3 linked regions of the Oryctolagus cuniculus genome follow. The protein of the gene in region 1 interacts with the protein of each later gene in a pairwise test. Links are inferred from orthologs where the notes say so. Each region holds a gene or a part of one and is shown on either strand. Other genes may lie near its edges.

Region 1 (5,664 bases):
AAGAGGTCTTCCTGACTTTCCGCTTCTCGTTCTTGGTATTTCTCACCGTTACCTGTACATCTATTCCCCAGTGCTGTGAGCATCCGGGAATCACACCCAGTAAAGCCCAAGCGCTGGGCCTTGCATGTGGGAGCTTCCCAGTAAGAACTCAAGAGTAGCGCAGGCCAGAGGGTGAGACAGTGCGGTAGTGAGGGGGATGGGCAGGGGAAGGGAGGGGTGGGTCCTGAGGGCTGCTCACAGATTCTGTTCCTCCAGGAGCTGCACTTTATGCTGGAGCTCCAGATTCTGGGCTGTGTATTTCGATACCCTGGGAGAAGAACAAGGCTGTGGGGACAGGCCCGAATCACCCCCTTCAAAGTCCCAACACCACCAACCACTGCTTCTGCCCCACCCAAGTCTTTTCCGTACCTGCTCTCTAAACCCCCCACGTACACCTTCTTCTTCCTGCGGCTCTCCTGAGCAGACTTTTTGTTTCGAATCTTCCGCCGCACTCGTTTCAGAACTTGTTCCTCCATCTGAGAGAAGACAGAGAAAGGGGTCTTGGGACCTTGGACTGAGGAGCTGGAAGACAAATGGGCTCGACCTTCTTGCCAACGCAGGAATCCCTTGTCTAGCCTCCCTAACCAGTAGCCATTTTGGTTTCCATCAGAATGCCTCTAAAGACCAGGTGTTAAGATCACAGGTGCCAGAGCATTTTTAACAATTTCATTCACTGAAAAATTTCTTACCCTGAATTAACATCTGCCTCCATGTAATTTCTATCCATTGAACTTATCTCTGGGGTCGTGTAGAACAAAATTCTACATAGCTGTTTTAAGGCTGTTGGCATTTCCTCAGAGTTTAAAAAAACACACACACAAAAAAACCCTGGACAGACTTCTTAACCCAACATTTCACCATCACTGCATCCTCTTGGTATCTGTCAAAGATACAGGCCCAAAACTGGGCACTTAAAATGCACTGTGATTTGTACAAAAGACAGCAAGACAGTCTTGCCTTTTTAGAGACAATGCATGTATTGACGCTGCTTCCACATCCCACTTGCTTTGCCATATCTCACTGCTGACTCATCTTGTACTTTTAAGAAGTTAAAATTTCTTTAATAAGTACTTATTTTATTACAGGGTCACAATACTGTGCTTGTGAAGTCACCACCCAGTGTTGAAACTTAAAACTTATGCTTCTACATTTGTACTGTTAGAAGGCTTAGTCCAGGCCGGCGCCGTGGCTCACTAGGCTAATCCTCCACCTTGCGGCGCCGGCACGCCGGGTTCTAGTCCCAGTCGGGGCGCCGGATTCTGTCCCGGTTGCCCCTCTTCCAGGCCAGCTCTCTGCTATGGCCTGCAGCTCTCTGCAGTGGAGGCTGGCCCAAGTGCTTGGGCCCTGCACCCCATGGGAGACCAGGAGAAGCACCTGGCTCCTGGCTTCAGATCAGCGCAGTGCACCAGCCCCAGCAGCCATTGGAGGGTGAACCAACAGCAAAAGGAAGACCTTTCTCTCTGTCTCTCTCTTTCACTGTCCATTCTGCCTGTCAAAAAAAAAAAAAAAAAAAAAAAGAAGGCTTAATCCAGCCTCATTGAACTCCCTAAAACAATTCTCCCATTCAGCGCGATGTAGATTACCACCAAGCCGATGAACTCCAAGTGGCAGAGCCCTTCCCTTGCACAGTCCTGCCCAAGGCCCTACGCTAATGTTGCATTGATAATTCTGAAATCTTTTTTCTTAGAACACCAAAATGTGTTAGAAGCCTCACAAAACCAGGATCCACCCTTGCATCTAGCATATTAACCAACAACTCTGCTAAGATGTTCACCTCTTAAGTGTATCTTATTTTTGACACTGATATTACACACATCTATAGGATACAGAGTGACATTTAAGTAATGTATACAATGTAAAAATAAGTAGGGCAGGGTAACTGGCACATGTATCACTGCAGACATTTATCATTTCTTTGAATCAGAAACTGAATATCCTCTCTGCTAGCTATTTTGAAATGCAGCTGCTACCAAGCATAACGTTAGAAGTGACTCCTATCTGACTGCATTCCGGTACAGGTCGACCAGCCTCTCTGCACTCTCCCTCCCCTACACCCTCCAGCCTTTGCCCCACCAATGGGAGCCTTACCTTGGTGAGAGGAAGCGTTCCAGGCAGAGTAAGCCCCTCCTTCTCCAGTAGCCTCTTCTCCTCCTCGGTCAGTACCAGCCTAGCAACCTCCTGAGGTTACGGGGAAGTAGGCAGCAGTTGCATGGGGATGTCCGAAAGAAATGGGAATTCCCGCCCCGCCCCGCCCCGTGCAATGTGGGGATAAGCCTCCTGAAAATCAAGTCAGCTACCTGCTCTGTTGGCTCCTCCACATACAGCGGAGTCATCGGAGCCTCCTCCTTCCCATAGCTCCCACTATCTGCAAAAGGGCAATTGTGACTAGCCGGGCCCACGGACCCTCTCCTCTAGCTCCCAACTTTTCTGATGTCACTCACCTACGTCCACGGAGACATGCTCCTGTGGGAGGGAGTAAGTGTGATCGTGGTGCACAGGCGAGGGCTCGCAGGAGCTGAGGTCGGCCAACGACGCCGGGGGACTCAGCAGGGTGCTCAGCAGATCCTCTGCCTCCCAGTCGCTCAGTACCTGCACCGGGTTCAAATTCCCAGGCCCTGGCCTGTCACTGACACCCGGGTCTCGCGGACGTGCCGCGCCTCCCTGACGCGGAGCCCTACCCACCCACCTCGGAAAGCGGCAGCTCCCAATCCGGGGGCGCCTCCACCGACTCATCGGCTGCCTCCCCCCATGCTCCGCTCTGCTCGAGCAGGAAGCCGAGCAGGTCCTGATCGCCAGGGTCCAACGCCAGCTCCATCTGCGACATCTACGGCAGAAACTCAAGGGTTCACTTCGCAGCCCGGTTCCAATACGCGAGCCCCAGGCACGACCCCCAGCCCAACCGCCGGGTCTCTCCCGCCTACCCACCGCTCCTCTTCGGCTGGCCTTCCCCGCTGCCGGGGCGGCAGTCGCTGTCAAGCCCGACCCACCCACCCGCCGGACTCCGTCGCCCTCGGCCTCCAACACAGCACAAGTGACGCACGCGGCCCCGCGGCCTCTCGGGACTTGTAGTTCCCTCCGAGCCGGAAGTGGCTCGGGTGCTGCGCCACGTCCCGGGGGCGATGCAAATGAGGGGGACGTCCCCGCCCCGGGGGCGGGGACACCGGCGACTCGCCTCCGCCTTCGCCCCGAGCTAGAAAAAAGGAAGAGTCCGAGTGTAACAGGGAACTCGGGCGCCGCTGGGGTGTTTTCTCCGGATTGCGCCGCGCCCTGGCTTCCTGCCGGGGAGGGGCTGCCAGTCTTCGGCGGGCTCGCGAGCATCGAGAGCTGGGGCCAGAGCAGCTTCCTGCAGGTCCCCAAAACCATAGAGCGCGGGCCCAGGGCGCCGCCCGGGGGTGGGGGACGCGCCGGGGACGGAAGTGGCCGAGTGTGGCGAAGGGAGGGCGAGGCCGGAGCCGGAGAGCGGGCCCGGAGGACGAGCAGGGCCGGCGGGCGGGGCGCAGAGCCGGGCAGCGCAGGTAGGCCGCGGCGGGCCGGGCCGGAACCTCGGGGTGGGGCCGCGAGGTCTGGCCCGGGAGGCGGGCGGGCGCGGCCCCTGACTGCGGCGCGTCTATGGCGGGTTCTGGGGGAGACGTCAGCTTCCAGGGTGTCTCGGCAGGCCGATCTGCGGGAGGTGGCTCCTCTGCGGGAGCAGTCCTTGGCCTGGAATAGGTTTTGGGGAAGGGTGAGGAGTGTGGCGGCCGCGGGGCGCAGGGCGGGGATGGGCTTTGGTGTTTGCTGATAGCGGGGATGTTGGGCTGGAGAGCTGTGGATGAGTCTGGGTTTAGGTGGGGTTGGGTTTGGGAATCAAGGGTCTCTTTAGGAGGTGTAAGGCCGGGGTTAACGCTTGAGTTATTGGCGTGATTTAGATCCGTTTTATAAATAAGTGAGGTTGAGGTTGAGGTCGTTATTTTGTTTCCTGGGATGACCAGAGGTAAGTCAGAGTTAAAAGAGTTCAGGGTCAGGTTAATGGTCAACAACAGGAATTAGGTTAGAAGTCCATTTTAAGGATCATAGGATATTGTCGTGGTCAGTTTTAAGGATAAACAGTGAAAAGGTGAGTTAGGAATCAAGTTACAGGTGAGCTAATTTAGACTTAGGGGTCAACATTTTGGGTTAAAGTCAGCAGATTTGGTGCTAACGGTAAAAATTAGTTGAGCCTTAGGGATCAAGGATTGGATGCTTGCTGGTCTCTGCTAGGAGGGGGATTCTATGAGAATGAGGAAACAAATTAGGGCACTAAGGGCAGACCCAGGCCAGGAATATTGACCTTGGGCAGATAACATTTAAGAGGTCGGCAATAGATCGATGCCTTTGGTGTGTGTGTGTGTGTGTGTGTGTGAGAGAAAGAGAGAGTGGGGGGGAGGGAAGTCCCCTCATTTTTATTTAGTCACAGGAGCTTCTTTCAGCCAGAGAGATGACACATTTTGGGTTGGGGTTCTGGACTTCAGGTAGAATTTCCTCGATTCCTCTCTAAGCTCAATGCTGTTGCTGTGGCCACCACAGTTACGGGGCAGGGATTGCTGGACTGTGTTCTGTATGAGATGGGAGGTGGGCAATGGCCAGGGACCCAGGCAGTGGGGACCACCCAGGGAGGAGGAGAGCAGTGGCTAAGGGGGAAGCCGACCAGGGGCCACCGTTGTGTGAGAGAAGGGGATGAATGAATCCCTCGGGACTTAGTCCCATTGCCTCCCACTCCCCTCCTTCCTTCGCTGTTAAGCCCCCTCTCTACCTCTCATCCCTAGCTCTGCATGTTGCATCCTTCCTGCACCCGCCCCTTTAGAAACTAGCTCCCTGCCTTTCATTCTTCCATGTTGTTCATCCCATTCTCAATTCAGCCTCCCTCCCTGCTTCTTAACCCACACCTCCTACTTGCCCAAATCTAAGCTCTCCCATTGTCTTAAAGCAGGGTCCCACCATTTTCACCCGTTCACACACCTGAGTGCTACTGGCTGCTGACGACCCCACCCCCAGCTCCTGCTGTGCGCCTCCTCTAATTTCTTGGTCCAGTTAAAGATCCCCTTCCCCCACTCCCCAACAGAAAAGAGGAAATGAGACCCAAAGAGGAAACTGGGTCTTGCTGATCCCACGCCTTGCCAGGCCATTGACCACACCCCCATTTCACTCCCACCCTGACCCTGCCACTGACCACAGCACTATCCCCTACCCAGTCTGACCCAACCTCTGGCCCCCTCCTGTGCTAGCTCCAGCTTTTACTTCCCACACACCCCAGCCTAATTTAGCCACGGACACAGCCCAATTCTCCTCACCCCTCTGTAGCTGAGCCGGCCCCTGACCTCACGCCGTCATTCCCTGACTTAGCTGCCACCCATGTAATCATCTCTTCCCTTCCCCTTCTTGCAGCCTGATTCAGGGACCAGTCATACATGTATTTTTCCTATCACCATCTTCCCCCTTTCCACCCGATGCAGTCATTAATCCCACCCTGTCTTCCCTCACTTAACTACTGATCACGCTTCCATCTCCTTTGCCCATAGCCGCATCTGCCCGGCCCAGCCCGACCCACCCTACCCCCTCCCCAGTTCCTTACCTAAACCTCAGCCGCCCCAGCTCCTAGGAGGCTGCTGA
Region 2 (5,655 bases), on another chromosome or scaffold:
GAGCGCCAGAAGCTTCTCCCCTAGGGCTTGAGGCTGTGGTTGTTCTGTTGTGCAACAGCCACGATGCAGACGCATGACATTCTGGACTTGAGAATGCAGGGCATTCAGAGCCAGACCAAGAGTATGTGAGTGGGGAGCCGGCTGGGCTTGCTGGCGTGCCAGAAGCAGGGAGTGGGAGAGCATGGGAGACCACTTATCTCCCTCCTACTCCCCCTTCCTCATTCCAGGCCCAAACACCAGGCCAAGATGTCTCCAACTGTGTAAAAGAATGGGAACATGGGACAATGCCACATGTAAGGGATGTTAGGAAACCCAAACACAGCACAACACTGATGTACTTAATTTGGTTTATGAAATGCAGTTTGCAATTTCTGTGGGATCCTCTATGTTAGTGTTAAAAAAAAAAAAAAAAAAAAAAGAAGAGGAGAGGAGAGAAGAGAAGAGAGGAGGGGTGAGGAGGGGAGGAGGGCCATTTGATTAGGAAGCAGGAAACCAGAATCCCAGATTGGAATCTGTTGCCCTGTGTAGAACTACTTGCAGGTCACTGAAGCTCTCAGTGCAATGGAGAAAAACGTGATAATTAACTGTCTGATGCACCCCATGGGGGTTAAATAAGAACACAAGAGTCTTGGAAAACATAAACTTAATTTTGAAGTTAGAAGACAGCACCTGTATTATCTAAACAGCTTACATTTACTTTTCCCCCATTTTTTTCAATCTGAAAAGGTTGTGAGCAAGTGTCATTAATTTATTCTGGGGGAGGGAGGGGAGGATTCATTCCTCGGTGGATTGTGCTTTTTGTCAGTCCAAGCTCCTTTTCAGAGCCCTTTCTTCCGTAAACTAACTTTCACCTTCCATCAACCCAGTAGTCTCAGTGGTGTTGACCCCTTCTTGCTCCAGAAGTGGACATGTGACACAGGTCTGACCAATCAGAGCATCCTTTCTCCTTGGGCATGTGATTCAAGCCAACCAATCGGACAGTGAATTTCAATTCATTGTGAAACCCTCTCTTTCCACAGAATAGATTGTGGCCTGGAACATTCCAGAAGCCCTCCCACTCCCACCAGGGGACAGCCTGCTTGAGAATGGTGGCATCTGAGAGGAGAGCAGAGCCTAGAGGAGAGTACGGTGGAGTCCCGGGGACACTTTTTGATCCAGGGATCCCTAAAGCCAGCTCCACTTGTGATTTCCCACTTGAGTCAATGCAGACGCCCCTTTCTCCTTCAGCACAGCTGGGTTTCTTGATGCCTTTAATTCTAAGGGTCTTGACTGATAGAAATTTCTGGGACTCATGTTTTAGAACTTGCAAAAGATAAACCTGTCATGCCTCCATGCAGAGCTACATGAATTAAGAAAATATAAGGTTTAAATTATACCTTTATAAAGTCCAAGTGTATCTGATATAATCTCCCAGCCACATACATTTATAGTAACCCCCAGGCGACATCTTATAATTTAAAAGAGACACAAATTACTAAAATAAAGAAATATTCCATTTTATTTTACTCTTCCATCCATGAGGTCCAAGGAAATACAAATTCATGGAAACTAAAAATACCAAAATGTGATTTTGACCAGCGTTAGAAGTTGCATGGAATCAGCAGAATGTGACTGTCTTGAGTGATTTTTGCCCTTCTCAGTTTGCCAAGTCAGGTGTAACATTTGGTCTAGCCCATGTAACAATCTCTGTGATAACTTGTCCAGGCTGAAGAGAGTTGTCATAGAATCATGAGGCCCAAACAACTGAAAGGTTCAGTACACAAAGCAAAATGGTCAACATTACTGGGTGACACAGACTGCTTATCATCAAGCTAGTAAACCATGGTGAATCTCACTCTGTAGCACTACAAATACCCCGGCACTGCCCTCATAGGTTTATTCTTCTATGCATGCATGTGGTGAATGGGTATTTTTAAGTCCCTGCGGGACACCGGCAGGCACTGTGTTAAATGCTGGAGTTACAAGATTAAGGCACTCAGTCTGCCCCCAAGGAGCTTTCAGTCTAACGACATGGAGAAATATGGGAATGAAGGGCAGTGCAATGTGACGATGACATTTAATGCTGACCACTGAAGCCTGTTCAAAGCAAAACAGAACCGTAGACTCACTCCACTGTAGCTTCCACAAAGAAGGCATGTGGCATTCCTCCACGGACACATGAAAGCTTAATAGTCTTGGTCCCTGTCTTGCAGTCCCAGTGTTACAACGGGGAGCTGCAGCCTTACAAGTTACAGCAGACCCAGAAACGGTTAGCGCCTTGCTGCTGCTGAGTGCTCAGGGGAGGTGCAGTGGGTCATCGCCGAGGTGGCTGACCACTGTCCCGGCTCACCCCTCTGCTCATTCAGCAGTTAGTAAGGCACTTCCCCATGCTCCTGACTCCCGAGACACCCTCCAAGGCCGTCCAGATGGGCAGTTGAACCTTAGGCATTAACCTGGAAGGACTGCTCCCACTGGGCCAGACACGGGGTTGTGATCTGGGGGAGTGTTTGATAAGGAGAGTTCCTTCTCTTGGATTTCCAACCCTACACCCAATACTGTGAGGGCTACTTCCTCCTCCGGAATGACTGGCTTTTCACTTATCACTGGTGATTTGGGTGCAAAGCGGAGCCTGTAGGTTGGGCTTAACACAAAGGGCCGAGCTCTCACGTCCTACAGTGCTGTGGGACATCCAGCCACAGGCACTCAACGGAGCAGCAAATTAATAGCACCCTGCTCCCATGAGCTCCGGCTGCCCCTCTCCTCTCTCCTTGTCTCTCTCTGGACCTAGGCTCTCTTCAACATGTGCGTGGAATGAGCGGGAGCTGTGAGCTGCAGTTTCTGAGTCAGGCCGTGATGGGTCAATTGACAGCAGTAACAGTGAAGGAGGGGTTTAGAATTTCTAGTCTGCCTTGCTGAATCCATCTCACCTGGAATCACCTCCACTACACACTGCCGACTCGCATCGAGGGTCAGGGCTGCAGCCCTGGGAGCAGGGAGAAACGAAGAGGCAGAATTTCAAGACGCCGTCTCCTGTGCTCACTGAGAGTGGATGTGCATAGTGAGTGGTATTAAGGCATCTCGACAGAAGCACTTTGCTTAGCTCAGCTAAAAACCAGAGTAGCTTAGTGTTAGCTCATTAATAAATCTGTATGATTGGGTGTATCACCTCTAGAAACTGAATTTTATAAATGCTCTCATGATAAAAATATACAGTACATTCTCTATAAAAGCAATTTAAAAATGAGTAATTGACTTTACTTAGGCTCCTTATTTAGTGTAGTTTCACAAATCACTCACACACACAAAAAAACTGTAAAATCTGTACAAAAATAAGAACTCTCCATTTTCTGTAACATCTTATCTTTTCTGTATACAAATATGTTCATATAAAAAAGTGTCTACTTAGGAAAGTATAAAAACATTGCTCCAGTGTCATGTGTGCCCTCTAGGGAAACGTACCTTTGGGAATAATATAACTACTGGGAATTCTTAATGACGTGCAAGTCCCACACGTGCCACAGCTGCCTTCCCCTCAGAGCGGCATCGAAACCCTGCCTGTCTGCACCACTTCTAGAACTTGTCTGTGACATTCACTGAGGGAGACAGTACGCTTCTTTCTTCAAACGTCACCGTTGATTTCTGTAGATATCTTTAGAGTGACACTCTGTTAGGAAGGAAGCGGGGAAAAGGTTTAGAAGTTCAAGTCCAGAGCTGCCAACGACCTCTCTAACAGCTTTGCACCACCACAGAAATGACCCCATTGTGTGCCTTGTGCTACCTTGAGGTGGGTCCTAAAGGATTTTCTTGGCTTCCTATATCCTTTCAGTTAATATTTCCCTTGTTTCAAAACATAGGATTTTTCTTGTGGCCAAATCTGGTAAGTCCCACCTTTGCTCTGCTTTGGGAACATTTTTCAATTCTTTTAAAAGACACATTTCCTATTATTTGGAACTAGTAAGTGAGACCTCCTCAGAAGGAAAACAACCAGGGCACATGACGATTAGCATCAAATGGCAGAGGACAAATGAAAATTTCATTGGTTGGCAAAGCTGTCAAGACACTTTCCTTTGGGAACAAGCTAATAAACTAAGTTGCACAACACACATTTTTTTCCCCCCAAACAAATTAAGGGTAAAAAGAAAGTGCTTTATTTTTTTCAAGTGCAAGGAATTTTCTGTGAATTTTTACTAATCCTAATTGTTGACAATTTATAATATTTGAGTGAATAAATACCTACCTGGAAATCTTGGATGAATGTTAGGAAGTAGAAAATAAAACCAAAGGCCACCATCCACTCACAGATTGCACTCACCACGTGATATACATAATCCTGAAGCAATGATAAAGAAAGAGAATTTAGCCTAAAGGACTCATTCTAGTGCAGACGTAAAGTGTAGCCTGGAGGCGATCAAGGGCACTTTTAGATGTTCATGGAAAATGGAATTAAAAGATTAATTTATTGAGATGAAGAAAAACTGAAATCCATGCATACTTTTTCATAATATGCATCTTTCATCAAATTTGAAGCCTTCCCTTCCCCTTGTATGCATGGATTTCAAAAATGCTTGCACCAAAATAAACTTGTCTATTCCTTTTTCCTGTGAACTCTTTGAAGAACGCTCATCGAGTAAGGAAAGCCACGGAGATCCATGTCAGGATTCTGCCTGTTGAGAGCAAAAGTTCCATTATTTTAGAATTTCTTTCTGGCTCTCACTCTGGGTTTTTTTCTTTTTTCTTTCTTTCTTTTTCTTTGACAGGTAGAGTTATAGACAGAGAGAGAGAGACAAAGAGAAATCTCACTCTGGTTTTAAGACTTAGTCTACTTAACTTCAAAGAGCAGAAGAAGGACCACAAAAGAACTGAGAATGTGAAGCAACTGAGGATTCAACCAAAGAAAGAACTTCCCATAAAGGGCATGGCTTGGTCTCCCCTCACCTGGAATTCAGAAACTGAAGGGCATGCTGAACATTCATGCTGCATTCATGCTGCAGATGTCCCACAGTGTGCGACTACCCCCCACCAGCACCTGTGTTCTCTGTCACTGCAGAAGGTGTTGGTGCAGCAAACAGTTCCTCTCAACGTGACAGGCCAGATATGGCAACACAGAAAATGCCAACAAGGAGCTCCACAGGTTTACTGTGTATCTTCTCAGGGACGAGAACCAGAACATGGAAGCCAGGGATCTGAATGGCTTTAACCAGGCATTCAAAACTCAGTTGCTTAGGAAGGCAAGAAAATTCTTTAAAATGAATGGAACTGATAGTTGTTGAAAGTGAGGGAACTTGGGGAATCCATGTCTCATCAACTCAATTCTATTTTCACCAAATGAAAAAATAAAAACGTCAGTGTTGTTTTGAAAGGGGCGTTTTTTAAAAAGCCTACGTGTGTGCATGTGAGAGAGAGAGAGAACTCATCTGATAATGCAGGAAACTTATTTAAAAGCATTTTTAAATTCTACGTCAAAAATGCACAAGTGCATTCTGACTTTAGCTCATTTTAGCTCACTTTAGCTCACTGTGGACTGTCAGTGTACCCCCTCTGACTTCAAATAATGGCTTCATTTGTTTCTCATCCTCTTTCTGCTCTGCAACAGGTGACAAAGAATGAGTAAACAAACATGCTGAACTGCAGGTCAGTTCTACAGCAAGTTTGTGGATCCCATTTTCACCTAAAAGA
Region 3 (4,274 bases), on another chromosome or scaffold:
AGCTCCCCATTTATCCCAGGCCTGGGCCCTCCCCAGAGAGGAGCCAGCAGGCACAGGGTGTGAGGTGGAGGACAGAGTGTAGTTTCACCGAGCGTCTTCAAAGCAGCTCCTCTGCCCCGATGGGAAGAGGTGGCGGGGAGGGAGGATGCACGCCATGCGGATGGATGAAATCACCTCTCCCAAGTTCCCACAGGCAGGTGCACTGACGCCTGGTCTCAGGGTAAGGAAGGGGAGAACGGCCAGCAATCAGGGCCCAAGCCCAGTGTCCTTTCTCTAGGCCCATGGTCACCGGGCACAGCCTACCCCGCCCTCTCCAAAGGAACCAAGCCGAATGGAGCCATCTGCTTTCTATGCCAGATCCCAGCCGGCCATTCAGCCAAGCAAGCTCTGCACGCTCTCATTTCCACCAGGTGCTGGGCCCCGGTGCCCCTGGACAGTGACAGGACGGTCGCTACTGTTGTTGGGAATGCCGGTGGGGGCTGCCATGACCTAGTGCCCCACCTGGGTCCCTTGCTTCTTCACAGGGACTTGTCACAAGACAGGGAGCACACGGAAAGGGATTCCCTGCTTACCACAAAGCAGTGGAGACTTCAGGGGCGGGATTTATAAGGGGTGGCTGTGGGGGCTTTCACCTTGGACTTCCCTACTCTCCTCTGGGGTAGTGGGGCATGTGCACAAGCCCCAGGGGAAGGGACGGGGCTGGTGCGGAAAGTCCAGGGCAAGAATGCCAAGGGCCCCTCAGCCTGGACATCGGCCCGTGTTGCTCCCTTATTAGGAGTTAAGGGAGTGTATGGGGCTCCCCATCCAAGGCGGGAGACGGCAGAGGCCCAGGAAGTGGCGGAGGATGACAACACGCAGACAGAGGAGCCCCTGGATCAGGTGAGCTGTGGGGTCAGGAAGCAGTGTGCTGGCAGGGCAGTTCTGAGCTGGAAACCAGCAGCCTGGGCCCTGGGCACAGTTCTCGCCTTGTGACAGATGTAAACAGATCTGACATGCCAGAGTCCAGCTCCTGGCTTAGTGGATGTGAAAGCAGTTCCTAATTTCTTGTCTTTTTTTTCTCTGGGGGCTGGGGGACTGCGGGCTGAGGCTGGACAGATCATAGCTCCATTCTGCATGGCTCTCCACCCCCTGCAGCAGGCAGCAGAGGTGGTGGAAGAGGACCTGTCCCTGGCCGGCCAGCCTGGGGTTGGGGCTGGAGAGGCTCTCAGCCTCAGCCCCTGCTCTGCCATGACAGCCGGTGGCTACAGAACTGGGGACCACCACCTTTCATCCTCCGCCTCCCACAGCCTGCTCCCTGGGGCCGAGGCCTGTCCGCCCGCCCTCCCCGCCCAGGCCCACAGCCCAGTCCCCTTCCTGAGCAGAGCAGCCCTGTCCTTACACGATTCTCTGACCAGAGAGAGGAGCAGCAAACAGCTTGGGAGGCAGACCCCAGACGTGGGAGTGCGTCTGCCACAATAAAAGAAGACGTAAATAGTCCCTGCTGACTGCAGATTTATTGGAGGCTGTTGCTACCGGGTGTTGTGCTGGGTGCTGGCTGGGCAGGCTGGGCTCACACTGACTCCGGCGGGAGAGGGGCTAACAGTGGTGGATTCCTGGCCACCACCTGGTGGGATGGGAGGGGCTGGCAGACAGCTCATCTCTGCTGCCATCCTGATGTGTGGGGACTCTGACCCCTGGGGGCCTCCTGTCTGCACTTCCGGCTCAGAGACTGCAGCGGGGGTGCTGCCGTCCTTGGCTTCTGCCCCGTGACAGTTCACAGAAGGCCCTGGCACTGACGGCAGGAAGAGAGCTGCTCGGGCCGAGAGGATGCTGAGGGTGTGTGAGTCTCCCGTGTGCTCGTGGTCCTTAACATGATCATGAGGTAGCTGTTCTCCACATGAGATGGGAGGACGTGCCAGCTCTCCCTGCTCAGGGCCTGCGCCTTGTGACCCGGGCCTCCCTGGAGACAGCAGGGCTGCTGGGGGTCAAAGAGCAGATGGCTGCCTGTGGGTCCTGGTCACTGAGCTTGTGATGCACAGTGTAATTCCCGTCACGGTGAGCACCATGCCGGCGATGGCTCCTGGGATAACAGGCGGAAATCAGGGACTCGGCTCAGCCATGCCAGTGGGAGCTGATACTGGGCTGGCGGGAGAGCTCACATGAGGGCTTGTCCCAATTTCCACCCCAGCATCTGTCCCCAGACTGCCCAGGGGAAGGAAAGTGATGACCACCAGGAAGCAGGACAGGTGCAGAGGAAAGGGGCAGGATGGCGGAAGGCCCTCTCCTCACCAGCCCCTGGGAGATGGGCGTGGGACAGAACCACCCAGGGTTGTCACGGCCGGGCAGCAGCCTGACTTACGTTTGCCACCAATTTCTTCTCCAAGGATCTTCCCGACGATCATTGTGAAGACGATGGCCAGGGAGTTACAGATGGGCACGGCGAGAGTCAGGTCTGGGTGGTCAAGGTGAGGAGAGCCCCTGAGGTGCAGGAAATGCCTTTCCCGTCACAAACACGTTCATCTCACCCTCGTGGCCACTGCACACCTTTCAGAAAGGCGTCCTGACCCCAGCGCCAGAGGAAGTCACAGCAGAGCTCAGGACTCTAACCCAGGCCTCCTGACTCCCAGTTCATGCATTCTCGGGATTCCAGCGTAGCCCTGAGCTCGGGTGTGAGACCAGCCTGGCTTGACAGTGAGAATGAGGTCTCTGCATTCAGAGAGAACTGAGATCTTCTAGACAGACAGACAGGCACACAGATACGAAGGCACCTACAGCCCAAAGGACACGGTGGAACCTGTGTAACAGCGCCAAGCACGGCTACTGTCGATAAAGCACAGGCTACGCACAGTGCTCTGTGTACGTCTCATGTCATTTTCACATGTGACCTTGCTCACAACACCACAAGGAGAGAACTGTCACCAAAGGGAAGAAAGGCTCAAAGAAGTCGCACAAATATAGACAAATTGAGGGTTTAAATGTATTTATTTGGAAAGCAGAGATAGAGTTTTTTCCATCTGCTGGCTTACTCCCCAAGTACTTGCAACAACCAGGGGTAGGCCAGGCAGAAGTCCAGAGCCTTGAACCCAATCTGGGTCCCCAACATGGGTGGCAGGGACCCAAGCACTTAAGCCATCATCTGCCTCCCAGGCAGGAAGCTGGAATTGGAAGTGGAGGTGGGACTTAAATTCAGGCATTCTGACATGGGATGCAGATGTCCTAAGTGGTGTCTTTTTTCTTTTTAATTAATTTATTTGAAAGGCAGAAATACAGAGAGAGATCTTCGATCCACTGGTTCACTCCCCACATGGCCCCCACGGCCAGGGATGGGCCAGGCCAAAGCCAGGAGCCAGGAGCATCTTCCAGGACTCCCACCTGGGCACAGTGGCCCAGGGACTTGGGCCATTTTCCACTGCTTTCCCAGATGCATTAACAGGGAGCTGGATCAGAACTGGAACAGGCTGGTGCCGCGGCTCACTAGGCTAATCCTCCGCCTGAGGCGCCAGCACTCTGGGTTCTAGTCCTGGTCAGGGCACCGGATTCTGTCCCGGTTGCTCCTCTTCTAGTCCAGCTCTCTGCTGTGGCTTGGGAAGGCAGTGGAGGATGGCCCAGGTGCTTGGGTCCTGCACCCGCATGGTGCAGACAATGTTTGGGGGACAGTGCTGTGACATATAAGGTTAAGCCTCTGCCTGCAGTGCTGGCATCCCATATGGGCGCCAGTTCAAGTCTGGGCTGTTCCAGTTCTTTTTTATTTATTTACTTATTTTTTTTTTCTTTGACAGGCAGAGTTAGACAGTGAGAGAGAGAGAGACAGAGAGAAAGGTTTTCCTTCTGTTGGTTCACCTCCCAAATGGCTGCTACGGCTAGCGCGCTGCGCTGATCCGAAGCCAGGAGCGAGCCAGGTGCTCCCTCCTAGTCTCCCATGCGTACAGGGGCCCAAGTACTGGGGCCATTCTCCACTGCCTTCCCGGGCCACAGCAAAGAGCTGGACTGGAAGAGGAGCAACCGAGACTAGGACCTGGCACCCATATGGGATGCCACAGGTGGAAGATTAACCAAATGAGCCACGGCGCCGGCCCCCAAACATTGTCTTAACCACTGTGCCAAATTGAGGGTTTAAACCAAGGTCTGCCTGACTCGAAAGCCTGTGCCCTTACTAAATTAGATGGATATTGGTGGGGCCGGTGCAGTGGCACAGAGGGTTAAAGCCCCAGCCTACAGAGCCAGCATCCCATATGGGCACTGGTTTGAGTCTTGGCTGCTCCACTTCTGATCCAGCTCCCTGCTAATGCACCTGG

What was found. The genes of interacting proteins can lie anywhere in the genome.
Region 2: the proteins of CREB3 (region 1) and DRAM1 interact in a two-hybrid assay, tested with the Homo sapiens proteins (2 studies listed by BioGRID and IntAct). The two-hybrid records come from large-scale screens. The link is inferred for Oryctolagus cuniculus from reciprocal best matches to the Homo sapiens genes CREB3 and DRAM1.
Region 3: the proteins of CREB3 (region 1) and TMEM234 interact in a two-hybrid assay, tested with the Homo sapiens proteins (2 studies listed by BioGRID and IntAct). The two-hybrid records come from large-scale screens. The link is inferred for Oryctolagus cuniculus from reciprocal best matches to the Homo sapiens genes CREB3 and TMEM234.

What each region holds. Positions count from the first base shown.
Region 1 is NC_091432.1:198,638,810-198,644,473, reverse strand, and holds the start of CREB3 (cyclic AMP-responsive element-binding protein 3), read right to left. Parts: upstream 3,403-5,664; coding exon 2,965-3,402; exon of another isoform or gene 2,961-2,964; intron 2,864-2,960; coding exon 2,726-2,863; intron 2,629-2,725; coding exon 2,481-2,628; intron 2,405-2,480; coding exon 2,337-2,404; intron 2,218-2,336; coding exon 2,128-2,217; intron 516-2,127; coding exon 409-515; intron 308-408; coding exon 239-307; intron 1-238. UniProt on the Homo sapiens protein: Endoplasmic reticulum (ER)-bound sequence-specific transcription factor that directly binds DNA and activates transcription. Plays a role in the unfolded protein response (UPR), promoting cell survival versus ER stress-induced apoptotic cell death.
Region 2 is NC_091442.1:104,885,807-104,891,461, reverse strand, and holds the end of DRAM1 (DNA damage-regulated autophagy modulator protein 1), read right to left. Parts: intron 4,310-5,655; coding exon 4,217-4,309; intron 3,644-4,216; coding exon 3,599-3,643; 3' UTR 1,472-3,598; downstream 1-1,471. UniProt on the Homo sapiens protein: Lysosomal modulator of autophagy that plays a central role in p53/TP53-mediated apoptosis. Not involved in p73/TP73-mediated autophagy.
Region 3 is NC_091438.1:140,242,225-140,246,498, reverse strand, and holds the end of TMEM234 (transmembrane protein 234), read right to left. Parts: intron 2,445-4,274; exon of another isoform or gene 2,432-2,444; coding exon 2,339-2,431; exon of another isoform or gene 2,309-2,338; intron 2,122-2,308; coding exon of another isoform or gene 2,060-2,121; coding exon 1,965-2,059; 3' UTR 1,472-1,964; downstream 1-1,471.